Linked DNA regions of Neurospora crassa OR74A. The protein of the gene in region 1 interacts with the protein of each later gene in a pairwise test. Links are inferred from orthologs where the notes say so. Each region holds a gene or a part of one and is shown on either strand. Other genes may lie near its edges. The genes, in order: NCU09808 and NCU07724.

Region 1 (4,454 bases):
CTCTTTCAGTAGGGTGAATGAATACGGCCAACTCGGTAGCGGATTTGTGAAACGGTAAACTCCCGTCGGCGCCGTAACGGTGATGGTCCCCGCGCCTAGGGATGGGATCGACAAGAAGGTATGCCTCCGCACAAAGGGTTGGCGCTAGCTGGTGGCAGGGGTAACAGGTGTTTGTGGCGCAACTTGCAAGCTTTTGACAAGACAGACGATTCGCGAAATGGAAGGAGACGTCGGCAAAGGCCAAAAATGTTTTTTTTTTTTTTTTTTTTTTTTTCCTTTTCCCCCATACATGTCATCAAGCAACGCTGGTTACAACTCAAGCCTCTCACCACCGTAACTCTCCCTTCACGCCCTTTTCAGCCTCAGCGGCCGGCTTGGGCGTACTTGATGGTTCGTCTTCCTTGAAGCCTAGGTTTTTGAAATCATCTTTGGCCATCAAGTTGCTGAATATCGCATGGTTAGCGCGGGACCAGACAGAGACATTCAGGGAGTTGTAGCTGCCACCCACCGTTCCATGCGGCATGCGAGATAGGCCTTTGCCAGCGATCGACACTCATCTTCGTTGACTCCCTTGACCCTCTTGATGCAGGCAAGGTAGGTTGTCATGACGTGTTTGCATTCTCCTGGAGGGCAAAGTATGCGTGAGAGCTGAGACCAGTGTATACATGCATTGGTGCTGAGCCTTACCGTCATGATCCAGGGGAAAGCTGCCTCTCTGGGGCCTTGAGGTGTTGTTGGTCAGTTGGACAAGCCTTCAGGGTAGAACATTGCATTCTGGGCTCGTGGACTTACGGCGTGGGTTTTGTTGTTGGCAAGGCACCGGGACTTCCAAAGGTACTCATATTGCAAAGCCGGTGACGGTGATGAACTGCCGCAAAGTTGGTAGAGGTAGTCAAACGAAACCAGGGCAGGGCAGGGTATTTTGGTTTTTGTTTAGCTTAGGTAGAGGTACCTCTAGCTTTTACCAAGTTTTGGGTTCCCCCCTCTGTGGTTTTCCTCCTCTTGCAGGGCGTTCGCAGCTGGGGATTCGAGGTGTGCAACTGCCCGCTGGAGTCTTGAATGCGGATGAAGTGCTCCTGGAAATCGGCATTCCAGCACGGTCTCAGCTACCTGGACCCTAACGTAGCAGGCTCATGAAATGCCTGCCCACGGGGTAAGCTTTGTTAGTGCAGTTGAGCAAGCGCTGAATGGGAAGGCCAAGGGCATTATGAGGTCCCCGGGTTCGGTTTTACCGGAAGGTGGCAGCACGGGAGGTTACAGATTACTAGGTACTGCGTAGGTAGGTACCTAGGGTGGATAGTGGATCGTGGACAGAGATACGCTCGGGACCATGGAGCTACGGTACGAACGAAGTCGGCTTGATGTCCATGGGGAACTACCGGTATAAACCTCAAGGACTTTCTGCATGCATCCCGGAAACAGACTCCGATGTTCAGATCGGCAGGCCAGCGACATGTGCTGAGTGGACGACCTCCGAAGGTCCCGTCTCTCCCTCCGCCCTCCGTCCACCGTTGTCTGAGCCCGCGGTCCGCAGCCCGGCCGGGAGCCAAGAACTTCGGATCAACGGACAAGCCAGATGACGCACCGTGTAATGCCTGCTCATCCCCGCCATCCCGCCTTCCGCCGTCCCCGCTGTCGAATTTCAACCTCTATACCTATAGTGTAGTGGTGTAGTGGACAATGTACATAAGAGGTGCTTGTCTGTGGAGCCGTGGCAGTTGAGCTTCAAATTCTGAACTCTTCTTTGAGCCGCCGAGAGCCAGTCACAGACCCCGGTGTGTTGTCGGGTACACAGGTCAACGTGCCGGTTGCATGAAGGCCTGGAAACCTGTTCATCAGGCCGGGTCGGGTTCGATTTGCCCGGGTGCAGGCGCGACGACAACGCATCAAGGGAACTGCCCCCTTTGAGCGAGGTTTTAAACTTTTGACGACCAAGTGAAAGTGGGGACGTGGAATTTGACCCGAGGGGACCATGGACCGACCCCTCCCTCTCCCTCACTGTGTCGAGTGAATGGGTGTTTGCAACGCTTTGGATTCTGGAAGCGCGCCCCCCCTCCCCGGGTTATAGATTTTTGGCATCCACATCGACGTCCGCATCCACATCCACACTCACCATCGAGGCGCCGCGACAACTACTGAGGGCATCCCTCATCGCTTCAGGTTTCGAGCTGTCTGTGTGCTGCCTTGAACTCGTTGTACGTATTGGCTGCACTTGGATAGATCATTGATCGCCTCGTGCCTTGTCCCGCCAGTCAGCCAGCAACAGGCAACACAAGTTTCGGTTGTAAACTCTTTTCCTGTCCTGAAGCCGATCCGATTGATCCAAACCACCTGCCCGACTCGGTTTCTGTCGCCAGCCTCTTCTCCTGCCACCCGCCCGCACAGCCGCCAACCACCACCTAGCACTCGTCTTGTATTTACCCATTTTGTGAATCGACGAGACCATCGACCCTCAGATAAACCCGGGAGCCCACTTGCCCCCATACACCCACCCGGTCCCGTGCGACCGCCCGAATCGTGACCTCGTCCTGCCCGACCTCGGGCCCGTTTTCACACTTCCGTCTTGCGCTCAACTCCCGCTTCCGCCCACCTTACCGCTTGCGTTTGCGCTTTCTAAACGCGACTGATTTTCTCGGCTTTTTCCCCCCGCTCAACCGTCATCATGGCTGCCCTCGGTGACGATCTGCTGGGCGTTGTCAACAAGTTGCAAGACTTGGTCTTCAACACCATCGGCAACGATTCCCTGGATCTGCCCCAAATCGTACGCAATACCCGCCCACCACCTTCACCTGTCCGCTCCATGCCCGCAACCGCTCCTTGCCCCATCGTCCTTCTTTCCCCTTCCTTTTCCGCCACCAGACTGCTGACGACCCCTGCTCTCCATCACAGGTTGTCGTTGGATCCCAGTCCGCTGGAAAGTCGTCCGTCCTCGAGAACATTGTCGGTCGCGACTTTCTTCCCCGCGGCAGTGGAATCGTTACTCGGAGACCCCTCATTCTTCAGCTAATAAACGTCCCCGCCGACGACGACGCCGAAGATGCAACCCATCCCAGCTACAGGAACCCCAATGCTGCTGGCCGCAACGAGTGGGCAGAGTTTCACCACATTCCCAATCGGAGGTTCACCGATTTTGGCGACGTCAAGCGCGAAATCGAGAATGAGACCGCGCGAGTTGCGGGTACCAACAAGGGAATTAACCGCCAGCCCATCAACCTAAAGATTTTCTCTCCCCACGTTTTGAACCTAACGCTCGTTGATTTGCCTGGTCTCACAAAGGTACGCCGCTTTGAAGCTCTGGTGAACATGCCGTCATAACTTGGTCTAACGTATATCCGTGCAGGTTCCCATTGGAGACCAGCCTACAGACATAGAGAAGCAGACGCGCAACCTCATCTCCGAGTACATTGCAAAGCCCAACAGTATTGTCTTGGCTGTCTCGCCTGCTAACGTCGACATTGTGAACTCGGAGGCCTTGAAGCTTGCCAGGCATGTCGATCCCATGGGTAGGAGGACCATTGGTGTTCTCACAAAAGTCGATCTCATGGATCACGGAACAAATGCCCTGGACATACTGTCTGGTCGGGTCTACCCGCTCAAGCTTGGTTGGATTGGCGTGGTAAACAGATCGCAGCAGGATATTCAGGGCAACAAGCCCATGGAAGAGGCCTTGAAGTCCGAGTCCGAGTTCTTCAGGCATCATCCCGCGTATCGAAACATCTCCACCCGTTGCGGAACTCAGTTCCTCGCCAGGACCCTCAACACCACCTTGATGGCTCACATTCGCGAACGCTTGCCAGACATCAAGGCTCGTCTTAATACCTTGATGGGTCAAACCCAGCAGGAACTGGCAAGCTACGGGGACATGCACTTCAGTGGCAAGGAGCACCGAGGTTCTCTTATTCTGCAGCTCATGACCAGGTTTGCGTCATCTTTCATCGCGTCCATTGACGGTACCTCAACGGAAATCTCGACAAAAGAGCTCTGCGGCGGTGCTCGCATCTACTACATTTTCAACTCGGTCTTTGGAAGCTCTCTGGAATCGATCGACCCCACTTCCAATTTAACCGCGCTCGATATCCGGACCGCGATTCGCAACTCGACTGGTCCCCGGCCTAGTTTGTTTGTGCCTGAGATGGCCTTCGATCTCCTTGTCAAGCCCCAGATCAAGCTTCTTGAGCCACCCAGTCAGCGCTGCGTAGAGTTGGTATATGAGGAGCTCATCAAGATCTGCCACACTTGTGGCTCGACTGAGCTATCGAGGTTTCCCAGGCTGCAAGCCAAGCTCATCGAAGTTGTTTCTGACTTGCTTAGGGAACGGTTGGGTCCCGCGTCCAACTATGTCGAGTCGCTAATTTCCATCCAGAGGGCTTACATCAACACTAACCACCCCAACTTCCTCGGTGCGGCTGCAGCAATGAGCCACGTTGTGAGCAATAAGCAGGAGAGAGAGAGGA
Region 2 (4,342 bases), on another chromosome or scaffold:
CCCACTTGCGTCCAGGCGCGTTCACCTATTCTTTCAATGGGGTCAATGCTTTAGGTTGGCTCTGTTGGCGATACATCACTCAACTGTCGCCAGGGGCTCAGTTTTGCACAGATGAGAGATACATGTAACTGCTGTATAGTTCCATTGCGAACCTACACTCGTACAGACCCAAGGTATCCAGCCAACCCTAACAATGACTTCATTTTGTCGCTAGACGAGTCCTCTTCATAAACTCATGAACACCAATATACGTGGCCGCCCCTTTTTCTCCAATCCAGTGTAAGTCGTGTCGTATGATGTCGTATTTGTACAAGCAATGCAACCCCCCCCCCCCGGCGGACCATGTCGCCTTTAGCATGTCCAGACGCCGACGACACCGTCTTGACGGCCTTCGACCATGTAGCCGTCCCTGATGCGCACGCGTTCGACGATTGCAGGGGACTTGGCCTTCTCAGCCTCAGTGATGCCGGCGCCACAGTCCCAATGCCGTCCCTCAACCTTATCGTACACCTTAACCACATCCTCACCAGCAGCACAAACAATCCGGCGGGTGTCAAACATCATGCTGGTGATAGGGTGATCATATGCGTAAGCGTCGAAGATTGATCCAGTGCGAAGATCCCAAATCTGTGATAAGGAGCAGTGTCAGTGCCACTCGGTTTCGTAGTGTTATGGCAGAATGAGGAAGTTGCTTACACGAATGCTTCTGTCCAAGCTGCCAGTGACGAGATGAACATCATCAAACTGGAGGCAAGTAACCGGGCCGGTATGTCCAACCAGGCTACGGTGCACCTGTCCACTTCTAAGATCCCAGAGTCTAACCATACCGTCAGCAGTACCGCAAGCCAGAGCAGACTCGAAGACCTGCAGGGCACCAACGAAGTCTGCGGATCCGTCGGCAGAGCGGCTGGTCTGTCTCCAGGGACCGTCACTGCTGCCCATTGCGGTGGCTTGGGCGGCGGCCCACATCACGTCCAATGTCTGCACGCAACGACCCTTTGTAAGATCCCACTGACGAAGCGTCTTATCGGCGGAGCCAGAAACGAGCACATCTCCCCTGAAATGCAAGGCCGTAATCTCGTCGAGATGGGCCTCGAGAGTGAAAAGAGGGCAATCAGCCATGCTTCCGGCAGGCGGATCGACTGCGTGATCGTTCGGGTTGACAAACGCAAGGTCCTCGTCCTCCTCATCAACCTCCTGGCTACCCTGAGGGTCGTAGTGGGCCTTGCTCAGGTCCCACAGCTTGATTGTCGCATCCATAGAGCCAGTAGCCAAGAAGTTATCTTCAATTTGAAGAGTGCGTACAGATGCCGTGTGACCTTCAAGAGTACCGATGCAGCGCCCGGCGTTCAAGTCCCACACACGAACCGAGTCATCCATTGCAGCCGAAACCATGAGACCAAAGGGAGCATCGAAGTCGAGAGCCGTGATGTTATCCTGGTGCGCGCGCATCGAGCGAATCATCGTGCCTGGCTCGAAATGTTCGTGGAGAATCGGGAGTGTCTTCTTGCGATGGTTGCGAGGCTTCTTTTTTCCAGGAGGAGTGTTGGCTGCTGGTAATTTCTCGTAGATGGATTGCGACATGAATCCTTCTTCAGTTCTTGATAGATCCTCCTCAGACTTGTTCGGTGTCGCCATCGCCAACGATTCCGCCTCATCAGCAAGTTCTTGAGCTTCGTCTAGCCTGCTCTCAACATCCATGACTGCCAGTTGCGGTTAGTAGGAGGTCCCAAGATTAAGCGCATAAACACTTACTGTCATGCTCTAATACTGCCTCCTCTTTTTCAAGATTAGCGAGCCTGTCGAGGATGATCTTGCGCATGCCGTGCAGATTGGCGATTTTGTTATCAATCTCACGGATCTCGCTGCTAGCCATATTTTTCCGAACACCAAGCATTTCAAGTTGGTGCATCATTGACGCCTTATCTTTTTTTAACCTCTGTACCGCGTGCGGGCTTCCTGGTTGCACAGGGCTCTCATCGAGCATCTTCCTCCCCCGAGACACCCGTCGCTTGTGCTTCTTTCCATCATCGGTAAAGTCGGGAAAACTGGCCTGAAAGCCCTGGAATAACGAGTATGAGTTGGAGCTGGCAGGGATGTTTCTGAGAAGCTCATCGGGCACGTAGGCCAGTGCTCGAGATTGAATTTCCTTTGACGACAGCTTGGAGCGCACTAAATCGGTGGGCGTCGTACGCGCTATAGCGAAGACGCCCCGTTGAAGCGTGGGCTTCTGGAGCTGCTTGTGTATCTCGGTCATGGCGGTCTGGTAGTGAGGATGAGAGGTCGGGTCGGTGATGGGGCCGATCAAGTGACTTGCTGTTGTCGTCACTTTGCGACCGAAGGCCTCGAGACCCCGAGTCTGTTGCAGTTCACCCATCTTGCATTAGTTTGTGGTTCTTGGGCTGCGCCAAGCGCAATGCGGAAAGGACTCAGGAGAGGCAGAAGGGTGTCATCATGGTGGTGAACAGAGTGCGGGAGACGAAGGTGAGGAGAGCTCACAGAGATTACGGAGGTATCGTCATCAATCGACACATCGTCCGGGAACACATCACGGTTCTGATCGGAGTTGGCCATCCGTTGGCACCGGGAGGCTGCTACCCAATCGAAAAAGGTTCAAAGAAATGCCCAAGAGGTTGTTGCCGCCCGACGAACTACTAAAGCGCAAAGAGGTCGAATAGAAGCAGGACACTTGGACGACGACGCGAGAAAAATCCTGCGGGCGCTACTATCGCTGCCAAATCGCACGGCCGGGAATCGAGCGCAGCTGCGGCTAGTGGTAGCGATGCCGAAGCGATGTTGTCAATGTCAGAGTCCGCGGCAGCAACATGTAACCACGGCAGGCTGAATCAATTGCAGCAGCTGCGGATGGCCCGATGTTGTAGAGGTTGATCAGGTAAGGTACCTCGCTCCAAGTTCGCGCGCGTGGATGCGGCACAAATTTGATGTGTGAACCTGGTGAAGCACCGTGGCAGGAATCACTTTAGCTAGTCTGTTAACAGCTACCACCACACGTCTCTGGGACACATAGTTTGAAAGGTACCCTCTAAACACACTGGGCCCTCGGTGGTCGGTCTCTGCGGCTGGCAGCAGGCTGGTCGCAGCATGTTGGCGGGGAGGTGGATTTCCCGGCCAGCCGATAGCGCGCCCCCTCAATTCCCATTTCTTCCCCTCACCCCCCTGGCCCTGGTTCCCCGCACGCAAGCGACGCGCCAATTCAGGCTCGGCCTCCGTTCAGAAGGGGGTGTAACGAGAGCAGGGATCCGGTGTCTGCCAAGAAAGCCGCTGGAGGGCCAGTGGGGTACCGGATCCGCAGTATTGGTGCGTCATATGTACCAATGTACAAATGAACAACCTAAATTTTAACAGGGCCGTTGCAACGTGGGAATCTGATTGTTGTCCGATATCGAAGTTGCGATTGTTTGGTCCCAACTCTGCCGGTTGAGGGTCCTCAGGAGGGACTCAACGCTCACTGTACACAACAACTGCCTCTTGTCTTCTTTGTCAATTGATATCTTACTTGCACATATAACCCAAATCTCTATTCCAAGCCGTTATTGCACCTACCGCGACACCTCGGCTTTCAAGATGGACGCTATCATCGAACTGTCTGACGTCGACAAGGCGCTTGATCTTTCGCGCATTCGCTACCAGCTAATGTGAGTCAAGAGAGAGCTCAAGCACTGAACGATCACCTCGACAATCCTGGAACCTATGCCAACTGATACGTGTGTCGAACAGCCGTCTAGAGGACACCATCATATTCCATTTGATCGAGCGTGTTCAATTCCCCCTCAATAAGAACATTTACATCCCTGGCGCCGTCCCGCTCCCCGACACCGACCTCAGCTTGATGGACTGGTACTTGTGGCAGCAGGAGCGTCTCCAGTCCCTCATGCGTCGCTACGAGTCACCCGACGAATACCCTTTCTTCCCCGACGCCGTGCAGAAGCCCATCCTCGAGTCGATCGACTACCCCCAGATCCTCCACCCCAACAACGTCAATGTGAACGATCAGATCAAAGAGTTCTATACGCAAAAGTTCCTTCCCAGCGTGTGCCCCGACTTTGGCCGTGAGGATCGTGGTGTCAACAAGGAGAACTACGGTTCCTCTGCTACCTGCGATATCGCCTGCCTGCAGGCCATCTCCCGGCGCATTCACTTTGGCAAATTTGTCGCCGAATCCAAGTTCCAGTCTGAGACGGAAAAGTTCACAAAGTACATCCAGGCCGGTGATCGCGAAGCCATTGGAGAGGCTATCACCAACCAGGCTGTTGAGAAGAAGGTGCTGGAGAGATTGAAGCTTAAGGCGGAAACCTACGGTACCGACCCGTCAATAGGCGCC

The links.
Region 2: the proteins of NCU09808 (region 1) and NCU07724 interact in a two-hybrid assay, tested with the Saccharomyces cerevisiae proteins (9 studies listed by BioGRID). The link is inferred for Neurospora crassa OR74A from reciprocal best matches to the Saccharomyces cerevisiae genes DNM1 and MDV1.

Annotation. Positions count from the first base shown.
Region 1 is NC_026501.1:4,118,527-4,122,980, reverse strand, and holds the start of NCU09808 (dynamin-1), read left to right. Parts: upstream 1-1,629; 5' UTR 1,630-2,662; coding exon 2,663-2,761; intron 2,762-2,889; coding exon 2,890-3,276; intron 3,277-3,340; coding exon 3,341-4,454. Other genes in the region: NCU09809 (mitochondrial copper ion transporter), read right to left, coding at 326-443, 509-623, 688-722, 793-842. UniProt on the Saccharomyces cerevisiae protein: Microtubule-associated force-producing protein that participates mitochondrial fission. Fission of mitochondria occurs in many cell types and constitutes an important step in mitochondria morphology, which is balanced between fusion and fission.
Region 2 is NC_026504.1:2,079,289-2,083,630, reverse strand, and holds NCU07724 (mitochondrial division protein 1), read right to left. Parts: upstream 2,943-4,342; 5' UTR 2,575-2,942; coding exon 2,500-2,574; intron 2,360-2,499; coding exon 1,756-2,359; intron 1,704-1,755; coding exon 697-1,703; intron 628-696; coding exon 352-627; 3' UTR 40-351; downstream 1-39. Other genes in the region: NCU07725 (chorismate mutase), read left to right, coding at 3,586-3,656, 3,739-4,342. UniProt on the Saccharomyces cerevisiae protein: Involved in mitochondrial fission. Has a partially redundant function to CAF4 in acting as an adapter protein, binding to FIS1 on the mitochondrial outer membrane and recruiting the dynamin-like GTPase DNM1 to form mitochondrial fission complexes.